2 linked regions of the Astyanax mexicanus genome follow. The protein of the gene in region 1 interacts with the protein of each later gene in a pairwise test. Links are inferred from orthologs where the notes say so. Each region holds a gene or a part of one and is shown in the gene's direction. Other genes may lie near its edges.

Evidence for each region.
Region 2: the proteins of aldh16a1 (region 1) and dera interact in binary tests that used the Homo sapiens proteins (3 or more experiments, as listed by UniProt). The link is inferred for Astyanax mexicanus from reciprocal best matches to the Homo sapiens genes ALDH16A1 and DERA.

The regions. Positions count from the first base shown.
Region 1 is NC_064426.1:20,716,672-20,728,279, reverse strand, and holds the start of aldh16a1 (aldehyde dehydrogenase family 16 member A1), read left to right. Parts: upstream 1-6,500; 5' UTR 6,501-6,840; coding exon 6,841-6,930; intron 6,931-8,950; coding exon 8,951-9,050; intron 9,051-9,821; coding exon 9,822-9,948; intron 9,949-10,063; coding exon 10,064-10,221; intron 10,222-11,003; coding exon 11,004-11,081; intron 11,082-11,181; coding exon 11,182-11,366; intron 11,367-11,608. Other genes in the region: apoptosis regulator BAX, read right to left, coding at 109-213, 311-446, 1,050-1,220, 3,712-3,760, 3,840-3,861.
Region 2 is NC_064409.1:10,719,970-10,731,669, reverse strand, and holds the start of dera (deoxyribose-phosphate aldolase), read left to right. Parts: upstream 1-7,459; 5' UTR 7,460-7,586; coding exon 7,587-7,617; intron 7,618-9,381; coding exon 9,382-9,479; intron 9,480-9,570; coding exon 9,571-9,718; intron 9,719-10,819; coding exon 10,820-10,915; intron 10,916-11,032; coding exon 11,033-11,167; intron 11,168-11,700. Other genes in the region: helb (DNA helicase B), read left to right, coding at 439-580, 737-876, 1,087-1,174, 1,326-1,385, 1,515-1,770, 1,933-2,091, 3,291-3,776, 4,550-4,681. UniProt on the Homo sapiens protein: Catalyzes a reversible aldol reaction between acetaldehyde and D-glyceraldehyde 3-phosphate to generate 2-deoxy-D-ribose 5-phosphate. Participates in stress granule (SG) assembly.

The DNA.
Region 1 (11,608 bases):
TGTTTTCCAGAGCTGTACATTTGCTTCCCCTTACATGCATAGTATAGGAAGTCTTTCATGTGAGTATCTCCAATTTGTGAGTTCTGTACATTTGTAGGTGCTTCTTACCCATCCTCCCATGTTGCGAATCCACTGTAATAGCGTTCTCCTGAAGTAGTCCAGACTTAAATTCAGAATTTCTGAGAATACTTCAGGCAAATGAGCGAGTACCATCTGGAGAAGAAAACAAAAAAATAAAAATCATCAAAAGGTATGAAACAGAAGCCTATAAAGAACAGGTGAGTTTAACTCTAATCAAAACCAGCAGGACCTTTGCAGCCAGTTTTCCAACAGAGTAGAACAGGACAATAATTCTTCCCCAGTTGATCTGGCCATCACTGAAGACTCCCTCCACAAGCTTCCAGAAACTGTTTTTATTTGCCACACGTCCTAATCCGTCAATCATGCTGAGAGAGGAGGACAGATGGTAGAAGAAGATAAAATACAGAGACAAGATAGGAGAGTTTATACTTTAAGAAATTCAGGTCACATTAGAACAAATGCTGGTAAACATTATGTGTAAAGTACAGTAAAAGGAAACAAGATCTTTTGAAGAATCTAGCATATACGCTATATGGACAAAAGTGTTGGGACTAAAATGACAAGTTTAAAAAAAAGTTTATTCTGCTTTTGTTGGAGTACCTGTCTCTACTGTGCAGACTGACAAGAGCAATGCTGAGGTAAATATGTTCATGCTTCATGATTATCGGCTCCAAAGAGTTCTATTCTATTGGCACTTCAAGAACTCTAAAATATAGACAAGCTGTGGATGGTCCTTTGCACATTAGCAATGGGTGAAACTTAAAGCAGCTGAATGCATTAGTGCGTTTTGTGAGCTACCTTAAAAAAAACTTGAATCCAGATTTCTTTTGGACACCACCAGCCAGCATGTGGATGTGCTTTAATTGATTAATATCGTTAACTGTTAACCAAACCAAGTGCTGTGTGAGATCTTTAAATAATACTACACTCCCATGAGCAGAGCTCTGGAAAAACATCATTAAACTTACTCATTAAATCCAGTATCCATATCCAGTCTGTCCCCAATTACTCGTATGGTGTCTGCCAGCTGGTTCAAAAGCATCTGATTCTGAGCATGGGATAGCGGCTTTGGTTTTGGAATACCCAGAGAAGAAGTGTCTCCTGCTGCGTTTACACTCTTCACCTGATCCTCTATCACACTGAAAAACAGACAGAATGTAAGTTAACCCACTGTACTATATTGCAGGGGTGGGCGATATGGCCCTACAACTATAAACCAAAATATTTCATGTTATTTTCAGGATATGAGAAAACACTGATTATGGAAAATAATCAGATTAGTAACAGAGGTCAATGATTCAGAATGTCATGATACTAATAATGCACTCCAAATATCACCATATATCCAGGATTAAAGTAAAATTAATGATAATAGAGATATAATGTGTCTCTAAAAGCAAAAAACAGTGGTGCCCTGATGTGATAATTAGGGGTGGGATATATGGCACAATGTTTCAGGATATAATATCGTTCAGGATATTAAAAGGTTTTCGAGGTATTGTTGCATCTGTAACAATATGGCACACCCCAACTATATTGTTAAGAAACATATAGACATGGGTAAAATGTATTACATTTATAGATCATATTAATTCAGTGGCACTTACTCCATTGTGTGTGTATATATAAAAGTGGGATTTAAATATGTTTAAATGATGTTGCTATTTATATTTATAGGTTTATGTTTGAGTAAAGTGAACATTGTTGTTTTATTACATAAACTACGGACAACATTTCTTCCCAATTTCAAATAAAAATATTGTCATTTAGAGCATTTATTTGTAGAAAATGAGAAATGGCTTTGCCAACCTAACATATATTCCTTTATTTACATTTATATATCCATTTAAAAGCTTGAGAATAAGTGTGTTTAATAATGACTAATTTCTGAATGCTTTTCTGGCTGCATTGATTAATTTTGTAATTGGTGGACTTTATACAGTCATATGAAAAAGTTTGGGCACCCCTATTAATATTAATAATTTTTAGTTCTAAATATTTGGGTGTTTGCAACAGCCATTTCAGTTTGATATATCTAATAACTGATGGACACAGTAATATTTCAGGATTGAAATGAGGTTTATTGTACTAACAGAAAATGTGCAATATGCATTAAACCAAAATTTGACCGGTGCAAAAGTATGGGCACCCTTATCATTTTATTGATTTGAATACTCCTAACTACTTTTTACTGACTTAAAATTGGTTTGGTAACCTCATTTATCTTTGAATTCTATAGCCAGGTGTATCCAATCATGAGAAAGGGTATTTAAGGTGGCCAACTGCAAGTTGTTCTCCTATTTGAATCTCCTCTGAAGAGTGGCATCATGGGCTCATCAAAACAACTCTCAAATCATCTAAAAACAAAGATTGTTCAACATAGTTGTTCAGGGGAAGGATACAAAAAGTTGTCTCAGAGATTTAACCTGTCAGTTTCCACTGTGAGGAACATAGTAAGGAAATGGAAGACCACAGGGACAGTTCTTGATAAGCCCAGAAGTGGCAGGCCAAGAAAAATATCAGAAAGGCAGAGAAGAAGAATGGTGAGAACAGTCAAGGACAATCCACAGAACACCTCCAAAGAGCTGCAGCATCATCTTGCTGCAGATGGTGTCACTGTGCATCGGTCAACAATACAGCGCACTTTGCACAAGGAGAAGCTGTATGGGAGAGTGATGCGAAAGAAGCCATTTCTGCAAGCACCAAACAGAGTCGCCTGAGGTGTGCTTTTGCCTTTCTGATATTTTTCTTGGCCTGCCACTTTTTCATATGACTGTAAATACCAATGTTGCAGGGTCCGCTCATGTCTGTGCTACCTTCTGGCTCTCTCCGTTTAATTAGGCTGTAAAGAGTCAGATCTAAGTCGGTAGCTGCACTTTTTTCAATCCAATGGGCCGTTCTGCTGGAAACTGTTTGGGCGTTCTAATACCCGCCTCAGACTAGTTACATACTCAACATTTCTGGCATTTCTTACGCTTCACAAATTCAAATTAAATATCAATGTCTGATCTGACAACTAACAGCTAGGATGCCAAAGCCATTTATTATCCAATCAGCAACATTTAAAACAAACAAACAAACACGACTTAACTCTCCCATCACAAATACACTAATCTTCCACTACATAACCAATTATCCACTATTAAACACGGGTGAGTGTTTTTGAGATAATGAGTCACAAGGCCTGTTAGTCTTGTTTTCTCCTCAGCTTTGTGTGGGTTTTAACTATATGCCTTTTCTTAAATCTCTTTTGTTTATGTTTATTTTTTCATTTCTGGATTTACAGGAATCTGCTTTGTGGCACCATGAGACTTTATTTACCTGTTGCTGATGTTTAATCACCGGATCTTAATCATTAGAACAGCAATATAGTGTGATTTAGAAACTGAAACCAATTCTACTTTCACTTCCGACTGGATGAAGATTTGACAATGACTTGGCCTTTTCTTGAATCTGCCCTTGACTGTAGCCTAGTTCTCAAATAACATCTAACATCTAACTTCAGCATGTAGCATGTAGTTTAATCTACCTTTAATCTAATGATACTTAACAACAGTAAAAACATATAACAGACCAGACAATAATTAACTAAATTACAAAAAAACACAGTAAGTAACCTAGTTAACTCACCCAATTAAGAGTGCCTCTCCAATCTGATCATCTGGAAGAGAAGAAATAACTTAAATTGAACAAAATAAAACTAATCATATTCATATTCAGATCACTCAGAGTTAAAATATAGATTAAAACGAGCTTACCTGGGGTTTCTTCACACGCCATGGTAAATGAGACTCTGTTTACTGCGCTCTTTACCCGCCTGTTTATATCTCTGTTCAGGTGTTCCGCTGTTCAGGTGGTAAATCCTAAACCTCCATCGAACTTCAACAAGTTCTCTTCCAGGACTCACACTCAGGAAATGAGTGCAGCTTCTTCTTCTGCTTTTGGAGTTTAGGCGGTTGACAGATCAACGAACGTAACATTACCACCACCTACTGGATCTGGAGTGTGAAGGACGATTTCAGAATAACTATAATAATAATAATAATAATAATAATAATAATAATAATAATAATAATAATAATAATAATAATAACGATAATAATAATAATAATAATAATAATAATAATAATAATAATAATAATAATAATAATAATACATATGTTTTCAATAAAGTCAATAATAAAATTAATAAACCTACATGTACAAACTAGTTGACTTTAAAAATTGAAAAACAGATTTGTGAACTTTATTCATCCCTAAACCATAAACAAGTATACAAGTATACAGCTCTGGAAAAAAATAAAAGACCACTTAAAAATGTATTTTCTTTTCTTTGATTTTACCAAACTGAAAACCTCTGGAATATAATCAAGAGAAAGATGGATGATCACAAACCATCAAACCAAGCTGAACTGCTTGAATGTTTGCACCAGAAGTGGCATAAAGTTATCCAAAATCAATGTGTAAGACTGGTGGAGTAGAACATGCATTAAAACTGTGATTAAAAACCAGGGTTAAATTAACCAAATATTGATTTCTGAACTCTTAAAACTTTATGAATATGAACTTGTTTTCTTTGCTTTATTTGAGGTCTGAAAGCTCTGCACCTTTTTTATTATTTCAACCATTTCTCATTTTCCGCAAATAAATGCTCTAAATGACAATATTTTTATTTAGAATTTGGGAGAAATGTTGTCCGTAGTTTATAGAATAAAACATTAATGTTAATTTTACTCAAACTTACCTATAAACAGCAAAATCTGAGAAACTCATTCAGAAACTGAAGTAGTCTCTTTATTTTTTTCAGAGCTGTATATTAGTACAGCAGCACTTTATCACAAAACATTATAGAGCGCTACATATATAAAGAAGAGGCTCATTATTTTTGTTGTGTTAATTGATAGAACAAAAATAATGAGCTTTGATTTAGAAGCTAGATTGTGCCCATGTTTCGCTCATCTATTAAGAAATAAAGATTTTTAAAATGAAGTTCTTTGCCTAGTGGAGCCCATGAAAAAATCCTACATGAGTCGACTTAAGCTTTTGTGGAAGGGGAAATTTTATCAAATTTATCTAGGAAAAAAATAATTAAATCATTAGCCTAGATAATGAATTCGATTTTTTTTACATCTCGTGTTTTTGGCCTACTGCATTATCCGCTCTGGCCTTTAGATGGCACCAGTACGCCGTTCACTATTATCCTTATTTAAAACTCAGTCTCAAAAGGCAAAGCTCAGAGATCAGAGTACCGTTTAAAACGTGTTTTAATGGAGAAATTCGAGGTATTCGTTTTTATTTAAGAGGAGCTATGCCTTTTTGGACAACACAGATTAAGGTGGATGTATGTAAGGGTAATGTAATGTTTGTGTCACTCAAACCTCAAGATGATAAAAATATTCACCCATAAAGTTGCCCAAAAAGCTGTGTCTGCTCTTTAATGAAAACCAATAGCTTTATTATTACTTTAAGTGCTAAATATGTAATAATCAAAAATTGCTGTGGTGGGTCACTCTTATATTTTCAATGTTTTCAAAGGCTGAGATGATTGGGAAGTATTTTTGGCATTATTGTGACACTTATTGTGACTCTGGCTTTTATTTACTTGCTTTTAAGATTTTGTTTCCTTTCTGTTTCTGTTCATCAATGTGGATGCTTCTATAACTTCAAATGTATTTAATTATTTTTTTTAATTATTTTTAATTTGAGTAATAGTGAGCAGCTGTATCACTACTACAGTTATTGCAATAAAACAGCCAAGTGGATAATAACAAAAAACACCAGACATAGAATGAAATACATTACGAAAATTTAAAATACAAATAAAAGCACATGCAAGAGATCAACATTTCAAATATACCTCAAGTAATGAGCACAGTTTAAAAGCATTCTTACCGCTCATGTGTAGTACAGAGCCAAATCATTCTTAAATGCTAAACAATTTAAATTGATGATTTATGTATATAACATTTAGCCAAAATAGTAGTTGATAAAGGTTTGCTTCTATTGTGAAATACAATAGGTCTATCTGAGTTGTATATGCATGCTGCACATTAAACTGTTTCTTAACCTCCATTGTCTGCAGTAGCTAAGAAAAGCATACGTCAACCTGTGAATTTATGGCTTTGAAATCAATGCATGGAAAAATGTCATTTACAATTTTATAATGAATTTCTTTAACTTTAGTTTAGATAGGAAAAGCAACATTATTTATTCGAATTTTAATAATTTCCATTTTTTTCCCACAATCAAATTCAAGATCTCTCCTTTTATTAAAACAGTAGTTAATGGTAGCTCTGCTGGTATGTTTTGTGTGTGTGTGTGTGTGTGTGTGTGTGTGTGTGTGTGTGTGTGTGTGTGTGTGTGTGTGTATGTATGTAGGTGGCAGTAATGTGGAGCTCAGTCTGAGATTAAACCCCAGTAAGAGGGAGAAGAAGCTGTGAGGGAGGAGTTTATGAATGACAGCAGAGAGGACTGCATGCTGCTCAACACTGAAGACCAGCTACTTTCTTCAACTTTCTTTCTGAAGCTGCTGGTTTTTCACTAATTAGCTAACGCTACCTATTTAGCTTATTAGTTTAACTACCTTTATCAGGGGGATATTTTCAATTCTCTCTTATAACTGAAAGCATTTTCACAGCCTTCACAGCTGCCAGGTAGCTTAACCTAGCAAAGTAAACCAGTTTAGCCCAGAGAGGATCTTATATAGGACGTTTAACTGCGGGTTGAGCTGAATAACTCTGGCTTACCTAAACTCGTGTTATGGCAAGTAGCACCTCGAACACTGTGTACGACATTTTTCAGTCTATGGATTCCGGAGCGCCCAGTTCCAGCACTGCTGCTGCTGCCCGGGTAAGATAACTAACTCTCCTATCAGAAAAGTTCATATTTAATACATGTATACACAGTTATTAACTACAGCTGTTTCTCTGTGTTATTCCACTGTGTTTAGTCTCCACTAGAGTCAGTAATGGCCTGCAGGTGACTTTATTAGCTAATTAATTTACCTCACAAGAGAAAGCATGTGACCCTACCAGTGAATGTGGCTACGCTTGGTTTCTTTTCCCGCCCGTTTTCATGCACGTCCCGCCCCCGCCTGACCCTCTGCCCTGTGATTGGCTAATTGTTCATATTCTCCGGCGCGGAGCCATTGAGGTGTTTACCAGAGCCATGACTACTAGCCAATCCTGCAGCAGGAGGCCGGCGACTAGTAACAAATCCAAGCAAAGGGGGCGTGGTCTGTCTGAATACGGGTGGGTTAATAAATAACACTGTTTAAACAGTAGCTACTGAAGTGGAATGGTGTAAAGTTCAGACAGACAGTCTACAGACAAATATACAAATATTTCATGTAATTCTGTGTAAGTAAAGAAAGAAATGACTGTCAGTTAATCAAACAAAAAAAAATCAAGAACTTTAAAAGTATCCTCAGGTGCAGGGGTAAAAAGACTATCAAAAACTTTGATAAAATGATAAAACTGGCTCTCATCAGGAACACCACCAGAAAAGGAAAATCAAGAGTTTCCACTTTTGCACAGGATAAGAGTATCTAAGTTTCCAGCCTCAAAAACCACAACCACAACAGCACCCCAGATAAGAGCACCTAAATACTTCACAGATTATTTTGGTTTATTTAACACTTATCAAATTTACTACACAATTCCTTATGTGTTCCTTCATAGTCTGGATGACTTTAGTATTCATTTACGCTATAGGAAATGAAGCTATAGGTTGTATACGTGGCTACTCAAAATAAATTGTTGGTACCCTTCTATTAAAGAAAGAAAAACCCACAATGATTAATTAATAGGAAAAAAGCTGTTCCTGAGCCATACGTAAGGTGCACCGGATTATAAGGCACAATGACGATTTTTGGGAAAATTTAAGGATTTTAAGTGCCTTATAGTTACCTTATAGTGCGTAAAATACGATAAATGTTCTCACAGCTTGTCCCTGTATGCCCTTCTTCATTGTCACTTTTGATCAGATCTATCAGTGTGGTGCCATCCACAAACCTGTGGATTATGGAAAGAGCCATGAACAGAACCAATAATTAAACCATAAACATAAACTATAAAACCATAAAATAACGTGCCCTGTAGTGATTAAAACAATTATATGATCTTAAGAGAATAGTCTTTCGTTTGGGTTATATATGCAATATTACCATATAAATAACAATCCATTTGTTATATAAAATATTTTACATAACCTGTAAGACTATTTCATATATAGTAAAAATGCTGCATTTCCTAGTGGAACCCCATAGATCTGACTGTCTCTCGTTTAAAAAGGTTTTACTAAAAATTTGTATTAATGTTGAGGTGTAAAACATTACATTATCATTGGTAAAGAGGTATACTACAAAATTAGTCACTGAAAAGGAGGTAAACTGTGAAACTTGATATTGATAATGGGATTCAGCAAGAGATGAGTCATTGATGACCAGCTATACTACAATATTTGATCAAGGATAAGGATGTATACTATGATATTATTTGTTAATCATGAGATAACTATAAAAGAAGTCATTAATAATAAGGTATACAATGAGATTAATAATTGGTAATGAGGTGTACTAAGAGATTAGAAATTATTAATAATGTGTACTATGTAATTAGTCATTGAAAATGGAGTACAGTATGAGATTGATAGTGGAGTACTACAAGTACTTGGTAGTAATTGATAATGAGATATGCTGTGTGATTGGTATATAAACATGAGTGGAAGCACAGGTTATTGGGTGAGGCCAGTAGTGGATCAATAATGATTTAGGCTAATAGATGATGGCCAGAGATTGGAGAGAGTAATTGCAGTAACTGTATTAAGAGTATCAGTCTGACAGTGTGTGTTTGTGTGTGTGTGCTCTCAGGCTTGGCTCGAGCAGCATTCTCAGTCTCTGGGTCTCTTCACCAATGGGAAGTTTGTGTGTCCGGTCGGCAGACGGACACATGCTGTGACTGATTCCAAAGGTGGGTAAACTTTTTTTATTTTAATGTTGTCATTTATTAATGTTGTTATTTAAATGGTTTCTCTCTACACTAGTAAGAATGCATACTTGAAGTGAACAAGGGTGTCGCCATGTGTCTAATTCAGCAGGTCTTGCCACTGGGGGGGGACATCTTAGTAAACACAACTGTAATTTAAAAAAAAAAATCATTTATTTTAAAGTCAAACGAGTGCTGGATATTAAACTACACAGATTTCTCTCACGAAAACTGTTTATTTGGATGAGTAAAGCACTTCCGTTTTACAGTAAGCTTAAAATTCCAGTATTTTGTACATGGGTGAGCACTAGTCGCAGTTAGCAGCGATAGCCAGCCCCGGTTAGCAGTGCTAGACAGCGGTGGTTATCGCTAGCCAGCGGTTTGTCCGATGTAGCTTGTTTTATCACAGTAAACGTGCTGATTACAGTCTGATATACCCACCTCTGAACAGTGAAATGCCTAGCGATGCGGTTAGCAGCTAAAGCTAATGCTGCTGCTTTCAGCCTCAGCGCTAAAGAAACTTCACTGAAACTCCCTTATAATGCTGTATTTTAGCAAAAGTACACCTTATAGTCGGTAATACGGTAAAAAAAAAAACATACATCAGTAAATTAAACTGCTATTGCATTAAACATAGTTATAGGAGGACATTGGAGTCTAATTTCATGAAAATGAAAAAATGTCTTAAAATTTTCACATTAAGCGCATGCAACATGAAAACTAACACTGCCTGATTAGTTTTTTTCCCCTTTCCAGGTGGAACTGTCTGCAGTCTGGTCTGTGCTGAAGATGAAGATATCTCATCTTGTGCTTCCTCTGCAGCTGCAGGTTTTAAAGCCTGGGGTGAACTGAGTGGCCATCGTAGAGCTAAAGTCCTGCTCAGGTCAGTGCAGCATTCTTTAGCCTCTATAGGACATAATGCACTGTCCTGTCCCATGACTATTGGCATGCCGGTATACTATGGTTAAATGTGTTAAAGATTTTATTGTGTGATGCAGGTTGGCGAGCACTCTGCAGAGATACACTCAGTGTGTGAGTGAACTGTGTGATCTGTGCCAGTCTCCCTGCCCCCCCTCGGCTCTGGTCAGACTGGCCCAGTACTATGCTGGCTGGGCTCAACTACGAGACACACTCATGCCTGAGTGGACCCCACGAGGTGTGTAAGTGTGTGAGAGAGTGTGTGTGTGTACCCTGTGTGTGTGTGTGTATGTGTTTGTACACAACTGGGTTTAAGCCTAGTTCAATACAAAATTTTCCTTTGAATCATTAAAAATAGTGTGTTTATGTTTATAAGTGTGTTTTTATCCTTTTCCAAATTTCTGGAGGAAGGACAACAGGGGCGGGGGAAATTCAATTCATATACTCAATTTGGGCATGGGCGATTCTGGATCGATTCACAAATGACAAAAATTGATTTTCATGGAAGTGTAGCGCCTGAACAAACATCTGCTGTGTGTGTGTGTGTGTGTTCAGCTCGAGTGACCGCAACTGACAGTAACCATTGGAAGTTCTAATAAAAAAAAACGACGACTGTAAACGTCTTTCTCCTTCTTCGTTTCAGCGCGTTCAGCCAGATGCTACAATTTGTTTTTACTAAAGAAAATGACAAAAATAGTAACGCACAGTAAAGTGGATAAGTAACTTTAATCTGATTACTGGATTGGAAATAGTAATGCATTAGATTACGTTTTACTGAAAAAAAAGGTCAGATTAGAGTAATGTGTTTTTGACATCATTAAATAAGGATGTTGACAAGAGCCACACAATATGCAAGCTATATTAAATTATAGGGCTTTCGTGCCATGCTGCACATACTGAGAGAGAAAGCGAGAGAGGGAAGAAGAAGAAAAAAATTAGTAAGTTTTAATTATGAGATTTAATCCATGCTTTTTCAGCATAAATAAAAAGTAATCTACCTTTTGAACTTGTGTGCTGTAGGTGTGATTGCAGTGGTTGTTTCTGAGGACTGCTCTTTCTACTCTATATGGATTAAGGTCTTTCCAGCTCTGGCTATGGGTGAGTTTTTTTTCATTTGAACCCTAAAATATACAAATATACTATATTTGATCTATAGTGTATTATATACATTATACTGACTACTGTAACCGTTCTGCAGGCAATGCTGTAATTGTGGTTCCTGGTGCAAAACTGGCACCTCCTGCACTCTTATTGGCTCAGCTGTTTATGGAGGCGGGACTTCCTGCTGGAGCGCTTAGTGTGGTGACGGGTGACGGCTCGGTGGGAGCCAAAGTCGCTCAGAACAACCAGATAAGCTACCTGACCTACAGCGGGAGCCAGCAGGTAGGTGTGTGTGTGTAAGAGAAATGAAGTTATATGGGGAGAATGATGGACATTGCAATGATGTTATTGTCCGTAAGTTTTCATTAGCTTTACATTCTTATATAAATAAATCACTATAAAATTCCACAATACATCATATTTTTCGTGATAGTAGTGAACAATATACTGCAATTCATTTAATTAAACTGGATTAATTAAGCTATAAAATACCATGTTGCCCACCTCTACATGAAAAGCTTTGA
Region 2 (11,700 bases), on another chromosome or scaffold:
TTAGGTGTGTGCCACATCTTATTGTACGCAGTATTTTCGACAAACATTCTGACACATTAAAACCTTTATTTATTGCCATATTCTTAAAAGCATCCATTTTTGTATTTGTTTTGCTATTTACTTTTTTAAATTGTTTGTTTGCAGTTTCTATATGTAGACTAAATATGCTCCACTTATTTTTTTGTTTCTACTGAATGTAAGAAACTCATATTTATACTAAATATACGGGTAATTTTAGTATATTTTATATATTTTGTTGCAGTAGTGTGTCCTTTAAGTTGAATATGGTTATGGCACAAACTTGTATGTGCTATTATTTCAGAACCATATTGCCCACACCTATTGGACACTAGACTAGACCTTTCTAAATTATTTTATGCAGGGAAATATGTTGCATACATAGTAAATACAACATTTTCTTTACCTCTTTTTCTGAAGGAGATATCAGGCAGTTGCCCAGCATTGATCCAGGGAACACTCTAAACGACCTGTTTGAAAGTCTCCAGAGGGTGAGATGGGCCATTGAAATGCGCACCAATCATCGTGCTGAATCTGAGCTCATTGTCCGCAACGCTGGATTGTAAGCCTTTTTAATACCACATTAAATTAAATTACTACTAACAGCTGTTCCAAGTGATTTTCATAAAGTTAAAATGCGGATGTTCTAGGATGGTTAAGGACAATATTTAGTAATGTAAACTGTCCTAAATTAACAGAATTGCCTTTTTTGTCTCAGAATTGCAGATATGGGTCTGAAGAAAACATATTATGATCTGGATTTTGATGAGGTTGTGGACCTGAGTGAGACATTCAGAGTGCCTTCACCTGACAAGAGGTTCATTCTCATCCTCCTTCCAAGAGAAGAAAATGACGACGGTAAAGAGTGATTTTAACTAACCTTTACAAAACTGACAGTCGTTAAAAAAAAATACATTGTGTTTGTTCCAAATGTGCAAATTGTATCATATAAAATTATTATATAAATCATCATCATATATAATTAAATATTTGTGTACATATTAGCCCTACATATTTGTTTCATTGCATTACTACATATTTGTTTCCTACTTGTTGTTTTTATCTTAGATCTACAGATGGCTATAAAACAATTGCTGCAAAGACCAGCCCCTGGGCTAAAAGATGATCGGTCTTCACAGTTTGTTGCTTTTATGAGGTAAGACATCTAAAGTTGGTTAAGAGCCAAAGGGAAAAAATCAGATAGACTTAAAGACTTAAAGAAAAAACTGTTGATCTGAATTAGCCATTTCAAACATTCAGCACATGCTGTAACAGATATGATTTTTATTTTTTATTTTTTTAAACAGGAGAGATTGTGATTTGATCAATGAGCTTTGCTGCAAGCATTATTCAGATCATACTACAAAGTAAGTTAATTTAACATTAAGTTGTTATTTGTTATTTTTGTCCATTATTGTTCAAATTGGTGATGTAAATTAGATTTGAATCAATTCTCTTATTCGTTTGTTTATTAACTTGCTTGTTTTTTCTTTCAGAGATTGCAAAAAAAAACTAAACTTTCAGGTTGGTGATAAAGTTTGTTGCACAAAGAATGGCTATGTGACAGATATAGATAAAGAAAAAGAGATCAAAGACATGGAGAAAGATACCAAAGAAATGCAAAAGAAAGAGCAAGCGAAAGATACTGCGCAAACACAAGAGAATGAGCAAGTGAAAGATACTACGGAAACGCAAAAGAATAAGCAGGCAAAAACACGATTGTGCAATGGGCAAATTTTCTTTATTAAAGAGGTACGAAAAAACATACACAATTGCATTTATTTTACTAGCCTTCAGTATTTTCAGTAACTTAAAATATTAACACAATGTTTGAAGACAAAAGTTTAACATCTTTAGTTCATGTTTGGATCTTGCAGATTGGTTCAGGATTTGTCTGTGTGTTGTTAATGGCAGGATCGCACTGTAGAGGACGCTGGTAAACGGGGCAGTAAGAGACGGCAACTGCTGCTGGCTGATGAGACTGGTGAAGTGGTGCTGAAAGCTGACTACAGGGAGCTGCAGAGAGAGTGCAAATTACGCCACGCCTGGGCCCGAACCATCCACACTTTTCAGGTCGACATCTTGTGTCCTTCTTTGCTTTTATGCACCTCCTTCTTAAGTAATACAATATTTACACGTGAACACATTGTCAAAATATAGTTGCACCCAAAAGGAATCAACTGACAGGACTAGGCTCTCATGGAGTGATGCAGAATGGCGATGCTGAGATGTTTGGCATAAACGTTGCCCATAACAGTAAATTTTTAAAAATCATGGTAACCTTTATCTACCGTTTTAATGGGTTCACAGTCAGACACTTTCTTCTGGGTGCACCTGTTTTTGCAACTATTGCTTTAAGTGCATGTACTTAAAGTCTTTTTTCACAGTACTGTATATATGGCACTGTATTTTTATGAGGCGCACTGGATTATTAGGTGCACTATCAATAAACGTCTATTTTCTGGTCTATTTTCATACACAAGGCGCATTAGGCAACACTTGTTTGGAACAGGGGTTTTGCCATGTTTCCCTTCTAATTCAGCAAGTCTCTAAGCTGGGGGGCAAGACCTGTAAAGCTAAGCTAAGTTAAGCTAAGTAACCAAAACTGTAATTCTTAAAACAAAAAAACATTTATGATCGTAATCTTCACAGATTTCTCCCCTGTTCATTTGGGTGAGTAAAGCACTTCCTTCCCTTCCGTTTATTTACAGTAAACTTAGATTTCCACTAAGGCTGCAGCATTAGCATTAACTGCTGCCCGACAGCGCTACACTGAGGAACCCTGAGTTTTCCGGTTAACAAGGGCGATATTAGCTAGTGGTTTGTCCAACATAGCTTGTTTTAACACGGTATCCTCGTAGACTACAGTCCGATACTACACACCTCTGAATGGCCAAATGGCTAGTTAGTGGGTAATGCTAATGATGCTCCAGCAGTGCTAGCTGAGGTTAGCTGCAGACTACGGTCTGATAATACTTACCTCTGAATGGCCGAGTGGCTAGTGCTTAGCGGCTAATGCTAATACTGCTGGAGAACTAAACAGAAAATCCTGTGTAGTGGCTTGGAGTGGCTTTACTGCTCCTTACAACCTGACTGGTAGAATACATACATAAGACGCACTGAATTATAAGATGCACATTAGATGACATTATGGGAAAATTAAAGCATTTTAAGTGAGCCTTGTAGCTACAACAGTATTAATAAATCATAGGGGTAACATGTGATATGTTAATATATGATATGTTAAACCTGCTTTTGTCTTTCTTTATCAGGGCTCAGAGGAGAAGACTGTTGTGTATGTAGTTGGGAATGGCATTTGTCAAACCTGGAAACACGTCTACACAGCAGTCACACGTGGTCAGCAGCGTGTGTATGTTGTTGCGAAGATCGGTGGCCTAGAGCGCGCCATTCGTGGACACGTCATCAAACGCAGCACTAGACTAGCTGGCCTTCTCACAGATATGATCGGCAAGCTAAAGCAGACACGGGACGATTTGTACACTCAGACTAGCCAGTCTTATCTGGGAACTCCAAAGCGAGGCTCCAGCATTCTCCCAGGTCAGTCCACTCTATGGTCTTCACCAGGACCGTCCCAGGCTTTTTGTAGCACAAAGAGCAAGTATGCAGAGCAAGTATGCACCCACAATACTGCGGAAGATATGATTTATGGAAACAACACCTTCCAGTCAGGAAGTCCAAGTGTGTCCAAGCGTCATAACAAGTCTGACAACTGCGATACACCAACCAAACAACAAAAGGTAAGAGGGGTTGCAAATAAATACCTGAAGCTACACTTTACACTATATGGAACCCTGACTATAAATATAGGCAAATATAGGGCGCTATTTTATCAGTCTATAGGCGTGCTTTCAAACGTGCAGCTTGATTTTTGTTGTGTTAGTGTTTCTAATTCTCTTAGGGCGTTTTCACACCTTTAGTTTGTTTCTCTGGTCCGAATCGATGATGAGTTCATTTACTTGGAGCGTTTTCTCCCTTTGTTTGGACTTGTTTCACACAGGCATTAACCTAAACGCACCAAAATGTGCACCAATAAACCATTCAATGTCCCTCTATTTTATTCCTAAGGTTAAGTATGGTGCCGGTAGGTTCATGCTTATGTACGCCAGAGAGCCTTATTCTATTGGCAGTACTTCTCGATAGGAATTAGACTACTTGTTTACATATATTTACACATCTTTGTCCCTAATGGGTGAAGTTTGAATTGGAAAAATGCCCTCAAACCTTCAAACATGTATTGTATGCCATCAATGTCATACAAAATGTTCTATCTACTTTTTTGATATAATCCAGCAGTCCAGTGGTGCTTTACATTGTGTTACAATTTTTTGACAGATGGACCAATTGAAATGCTCCAAAGTTAATTGGAATAAAGTCTTTTTTTCATTGACTTCCATATAAGTTTGGCTGCGGATTGCTTGTGCTTGTGTAACATGTGATTATGATGTCAGGACCAAGTTGGTCAGGTTGTGGTGCTGCATTGCCTTAGTAACATTTTTATTTTTCGTTTCAGACGGCTGCAGTGGAATCCCCACTGGGTTGTTCCCAACTGGAGCGCCTGTCTCTCGCTAGCAGTACTCCAAAAGCCCATGCCAGAAAGCTTTTTCCAGGAGCCCCTCAGATTACTGAAGACCAGCCACAATAAGCAAGTAGCACAAGGAGAACCCTACAAAAATCAGAATTTACTTTTACCCAGAACTACAGAATGACAGCTCTTATATTTTGGGGTTATTGTCATTTAGTATTAGTATTATGAGAAAAAATATTATGTGTGTCATGATATGCCACTCACTATAAGCCTCTTAAGCGTAATGTCTGTCAGAAGTTGTGTATCTAATTTTCTTTAAAATCAATATCAAAAATATCTTTAGCAGCTACTGGTTTCTGGACAGATTTGTGGCTATATTACTTAACGGCTAGAATTTGTATTTTATTTTTAATAGTTTCAGCCATGTTTGAACTTTGAGAAACCCCTGCATGGACAATAAGCTTGAGGAGATGATGGTAAATTTAAGTTTACTGGTGCCATCTACAGGGCAGAGTGGGTCAGTGTAACGTTTATCACTTCAATTTTCTGACTGTTTCAGGCTACATTTGAACATAGAACATTAAGATATAAAACTTAAAATTGAAATCTTGTAACAAAATGTGATGGTATAATGCAACTTACTTTTGTTACAAGATTTTTTTTCTTTTTTTTTTCAGAAAATTGGAAAAATGTATAAAAACCTATTTCTTCTGTACTACAGCAAATAGTAAGAGTTAAATACGAAAGAGGTTTTACTCTCTATTTCCTATAATGGTCAGACAATTCAACTGAAAAATGTTACACTGACCCAGAGTAAGTAATGTGCTTAATGTGTCCTTTTGTGTCCTGTTTCAGAAAATATAGTTTTGTTCATTGAATTCATACTTTGAGGCTGGTACATAATTTTTAGGAGACTTTCATAAAAAAAATCTGTTTTCCAGATGTGTGATTTTCTTGTCATTATCTTCATATTATGGTGTTAATTGTTTTTGATTACCAGAGTAAGCTACAGAAGAAGCTGGTTTGCTTTGCTTAAAATGAGTGATTTAATGTGTTTGGTTCTTATCGTCTTGATTATTCATGCAGCAGAGAGCTTTTATCATTAGATATGTTTTATTGTATGTCTTTATTTCCATTCAGCGTGCAATACCTTTGCAGCTCAAAGGACAGTGATGCAGCATGTGTATGACTACATACATTTTTTTTTTTATTTCTTTCTGTGTTGTATTAAGTGAGCAGCGGTGAAATGGTGGTTTAAAGAAATTGGGATTGTTCAATACATTTTTCAAGTTCCTGGGTGTCTGTAACTAGTTCAAAACACAGGTATCATCTGTGAGTAGCCTAGTCCATTTTTTTGCTGTTCAATAAAAAAAATGTTTTAACATAGAATAGAAGGTAATGTAAAAAATAAATAAATAAAAAAGGATTTCCATGTAATTTTATAGAATTTCTATTCGTACATATTTATTTACATAGTATTCAGGGCAGTTAGAGGGATCAATGATGTTGGAAAAAATATAAATAATGATATGCCTGTTTTTTTATTGGACAGCAGTGAATTGTAGTTTCAACCGAGCAAACCCAAAAAGAGATTTTATTTGTTGTAAAACTACAGTTGTGCATAATGATGTCATTTGTATGCTTAAGATTCCTTGCATTAAAATGCATATGTCTATTCTTTTATTGGTTCTGTCCCTAAAATAATTAACAGAAGGGTTCACATGCTTGTGCACTAAGAGTTTTTATGGTTGTTCTCAATGAAGACATTAGCATAATGTTTTTGTGTAATAATTTTAGGCACATTATATTTGTTACTATTATTGACATGGATTAGTTCAGATGAATCAATGCAAAACGATGCCACTGATGATACACACAAACATACAGTACCAGCCAAAAGTTTCAACACTTTTTCATTCAATGTTTGTCTTTATTTCTATAATGTGTTTTCTACATGTGCAGGTGTGATGGATTGCGTATAAACCAATAGGGTGACGAAAGGGTATATGTTTATAGTTCTATACATCCAACCACAATCAGATTCACTAATCTGGATAGGGTTTTTTTGAACGTTGAGAAGCCGGTGTCCTGTCGAGTTGTGCAACCTTGCCAAACCGTGCAACCCTAGTGTATTTAAAGGTAAAAAAGTAAATTTGCTCGCTGTAAAAGTATCGATAAGATATTTGAATAATCTACATCGCTGTATCAGAGTAAAATTTAGAGAATAGAGGTGATTAGAAGCCGTTTTATAGTTATTTTTTCTTGTATTTGTATTATTATTTTATTTTATTTGTTTACACGGTTGTAAAATATCTAACTCAAGCAAAGAAATATCAGTGAGTTTAGATTCTATGATGCTCCCAAGAAAAAAAATATCAGGAAAACACGTAAAAACAGTAAACAAAAAAGAGAGAAGTAACGCATGCGCAGAGCTGCTAAGTAGCACAAATTGATGGGTAGCATGTCTCGACCGAACACCTGGAATGAAAACAAACTGAAATGAAATATATTAATATATATAGTAATTATGTTTTTTTTTTTGTAAGGAGCAATACGTTTAGATAATCAAGGGAATATGTAAAGGGTAGAAGTGGAAAAATCGTCTGAAAAATAATAATTACTCCATTAAAGTATAGATAACAAAAAATGCTATTTTATTAAAGTAAAGAAGTATTTGTACTGCTGAGACAAAAGTTTAGAACTGTATCTACATGGGGAAAATGTTAATTATTATGTAAATTATTATTTGTTCATTAGTTTAACTTTTAAACGGGTTATTAGTTGCAGTAAAAACAGTACAGTACAAATATCAGCCTTCAGTTTTTCTGTTTGTTGAACACGTGATTTACGCCCACTGCAGAGCTGCACGCTGATTGGTCCAGACAGAGAGCTGTTTGGTGACGATAGGGTGAGAGATGAGGAAGTAGAGCAGTGTGAGCAGCTCGAGCTGTTTGAGGTGTTTCTGCAGGTGAGGCTGGATTAATCTTCTCTGGTTGGGTTTGGGCTGATTCTGATCTTCAGCATGTCCTCCAGAAACCCGGGGATGGATCTGGGTAAGAGCTTCAGATTCACTGGGCGCTTTACTGCAGTACTGGGTCAGTGTGGGCTCGCGCTGCACGTGTCTGTACTGTACCAGCAACAGCAGTAGATTCTTCATAGACTGTAGCTGTACTGTTATATCGAGAAGTGAACGGACAGTTTCCCCACTGTTTGTAATTTCGCTTCGGTATAAAATCTTTAGTGGGTGTGAAGCAACAAATGAGGCAATCAAGGTGAAACTGGCGAGATATCAGAATTTTAAGAGATAACAGAAAGCTTAATTTTCACTGCATCCTCCTCTCACATGAGGCCCCTTTTAATAAGTTACACATGACCCAGTCCTCATGCACACGATCTGTTAGCGATCATAGGTTCTATGCAGATGTACAGTTTTGAGGGTTTTTTTAAATATATTTTTTAATATGACATGTTTTAATGTACTAGTGCATCTTAAAAAAATCGAATATTATTGGAAAGTTAGTTTATTTCAGTAATTCAGTTCAAAATGTGAAACTCATATTTTATATAGATGTGACACGCAGAGTGATCTATTTTAAGCGTTTATTTTTTAGTGTTGTTGATTGTTGATTACGGATTACAGCTAATGAAACCCCAAAAAAAGTATTTCAGAAAATGAGAATATTTTATAAGACCAATTGGTACTTTTGGCAGTATGGGCAGTGTGCCAAGTTCTGCTGGAAAATAAAATCCTTATCTTAAAATCCGCATCTCCATAAAAGTTGTCAGCAGAGGGAAGCATGAAGTGCTGTAGGATTTTCTGGGAAAACACTGCACTGACTTTGGTCTTGATATAACACCATGGATCAACAATAGATCAACAATAGTAGATGACATGTCTCTCCAAACCATCACTGAGCATCAGTAAATTTTAGTCTGGAGGAAGAGTGGAGAGACACACAGTCCAAGCTGCTTGAGGTCTAGTGTAAAATTTCCACAATCAGTGATGTTTTGGAGACAACTTTTTATTATGACTTGGCACACTGTCCAAGTACCTGTTGTTTTTATATAATATTCTAATTTTCTGAGATACTGTTTTTTGGGATTTACACACCTGATTCAAATCGTCAACTAACAACTAACTAATCAACTAACGATGTGCCCTCACTGAGGCGAACCTAGTGATACAGCAGGAAAACTAGCAGGACCAAACCACAGAGCTAACTAACTGAATAACCAAGAGTCTAAAATAAGGCTTAATGTATGTTTTTTCCACGGACAGCTGTTACAGAGATAACTCTTACCTTGGCTTAATTTTCTAAACCAACGAGCCAGAAACACCAAACATCTTCAATTTATTTCACTGCATAATAAAGACGGTGAATAGTAAAACGTGTTACAGCGTTAAAAGCTGGTTCTGGGCAATTCTGTGCTGCTGGGTTAGTGATTTCCTGCTTTAACACTCCCAGCTCTCCTCAGTGAGGGCAGTTAGTTCATTAGTTGGATCAGCTTTGTGTAACAACTGTAAACATAAGGCTGGAGTTCGCTGGTGTTACGCCAAAAAGAGTCCCCCGCCGATCTCTGCAGCTGCGCTGGGACGCTAGTTCCCTGTAGCATTAGCTTAAAACTTGGATTATTCTAATTACTACTCTTAAACCATCTCTTAATTCAGAGAATCCAGTGATTTTTTTGGAGTACAATGTATTCGGAACAAAACTTACAGGTATCTGAACATATTCATTTACCACAGGATGTGATAGAGGCCAGTTTTTGAAAAGCCCATTCAAAAACTTAATGTACATTGTTTTTATCTTTAACAGACCTCGAGTGGGTGTCAAAGGTCAGAGTTAATACCCAGGCTGTGCTGAAAAGGGCACAACAAGTTCAGGGATGTAAAGTGGCCAAGAAACAGTGGCAGGTAGGTCAAGGCTAATGCTAAACTCTGTGTCTACTGAAGTAAAGAGTTTGTTCTGCTGAAGACTTGTGACCTGCAACGTTTCGATTAACAGGCAGCCTGGCTCCTGAAGGCCGTAACGTGTATCGACCTTACGACCCTCGCTGGAGACGACACGCCATCCAATGTTCACCGGCTCTGTATGAAGGCCGTACAGCCAGTCCGCCAAGACCTGCTGAAAAGCATGGACATGCACGATAAAGGTTCCTAAAGTATATGTATAGGAAAATAATGCTTATATACACTATTGATAGGCTTGTGACCCAAACTATTTTTGTTTAAGTAACATATTATGCTAAGGAGCATCATGTTAAAAAATGGACATCACATATTTTCTTTTTTATAAAATGTTTTGTTGCACATCAGAATAGACCACCAACCGGCCAATAAACAAGTTTATTAACCAATGAAACAGTAATTTGGCCCCGCCCACTGCAAAAGCACTAAGACTACAGTAGTACAGCATTTTTACATTTTATGTACATTCTATCACTTGAGATTATTCAGGCCTCAAAGAGTTAAGGTGTGGGAACAAGATCCTAATGTGGCCATGACTTATTAAAGCATTGGGAACAAGCTAATTAAGTAGTAGGGACAACTTATTAAGGCATGGGAACAAGATAATTAAGTCTTGGTCATGTAAGTTGTCCCCACGACTTAAACATCTTGTTTCCACTCTTTAAGAAATCGTCCCAATGAATTTATCCTCATGACTTCATTACCTTGTTTGCACGCATTAATAAATGGTGGCCATGCATTATTTTTTTTGTGACTTCACCCCAGGGGCCCTGTATTATTCTATAAAAAATATTTGTGATTACCAGTTTTATTGGAATTTTAGGATAATTTTTTGACTGACATATTGATAATATCAGTGGAATACCTATAAGTTTAAGTTTAAGGCCAAATAATGTCATTGATATAATGATAGCATTAATAGCATAGTTATACATATACACAATACTGTATGTAATGTCGATGTTAATTTGATAACATAATTATACTACATTATACAAAATTAACTTCCTGGGTCGTTGCTTAGTAGCATTAATGTGCAGTATATTTTATTTGTTCAGCTATTACATTGTCTGTGCAACTATACAGTTGTCCACAAGATGGAGACAAACTATTTCAGTAAGTGTTTTATAAACACTGTCAGTGACCATCATGAGCAATTCTTTAGTCATATTCTATAATAACAGTGTAAGACAATAGCCCGAAAGCATTACATGTTCTCATATCAACATATAAAAGTCACTGAGCTTTTCCTGATGTAACATCTGTGTATTTGTTTGCATTAAAAGGTATTTCAACAGCTGCAGTGTGCGTCTACCCGTCTCGCGTGGCTGATGCTGTAAAGTCTTTGAAAGCGGCTAACTCCAGCCTACCTGTAGCCTCAGGTGAGCTTTCCACAGCATTGCAGTACGTTCCTATTCATTAAATATATAACACACTGATATATTTCCTAGTCAGATTGAGCCTTGATTTTTATTTTCATATTTCATATCTGACTGCAGTGGCTACCGGATTCCCTGCCGGTCAGACTCCATTAAAGACTCGTCTGGAGGAGGTCCGCATGGCTGTACAGGATGGAGCCACTGAAATCGACATTGTTATTAATCGCACGTTGGCTCTTACTGGGCAGTGGGCAGGTGTGTTTTTCTGTTTTTTCTATTTTTTTACATGCATAGTCAAACAATATATGTTTTAGGTTGACTAGTTTATAAAAAAGTTATTATTAAACAGATTAAACATTTAAGAACTACCGTGCACTGGATTATAAGGCACATTATCAATTAATGTTAATCTACACAGATTTCTCTCCTAAAAATGTTTATTTGGCTGAGTAAAGCATTCCTGTTTATTTACAGTAAGCTAAGATTTACCTTTTTTGTCAAAGAGTGAGTTTTCAGTAAAGTTTCTCCAGCACTAAGGCTGGGTGCAGCAGCATTAGCATTATCTGCTAATTGTAATGCTAGCGGGCCGATAACGCTAGCCTAAGGAACACCCAGGGAATTAGTCGCTAGCAGTTTATCTCACGTAGCTTGTTTTAACACCGTAAACATGCAGGCTACTGTCAAATATACTTGCCTCTGAACGGTGATAAAAAAAGCTAGTGCTGCGGTTAGCGGATAATGCTAACGCTGCTGCAGCCAGCCTTAGTGCTGGAGAGACTTTTTAAGGC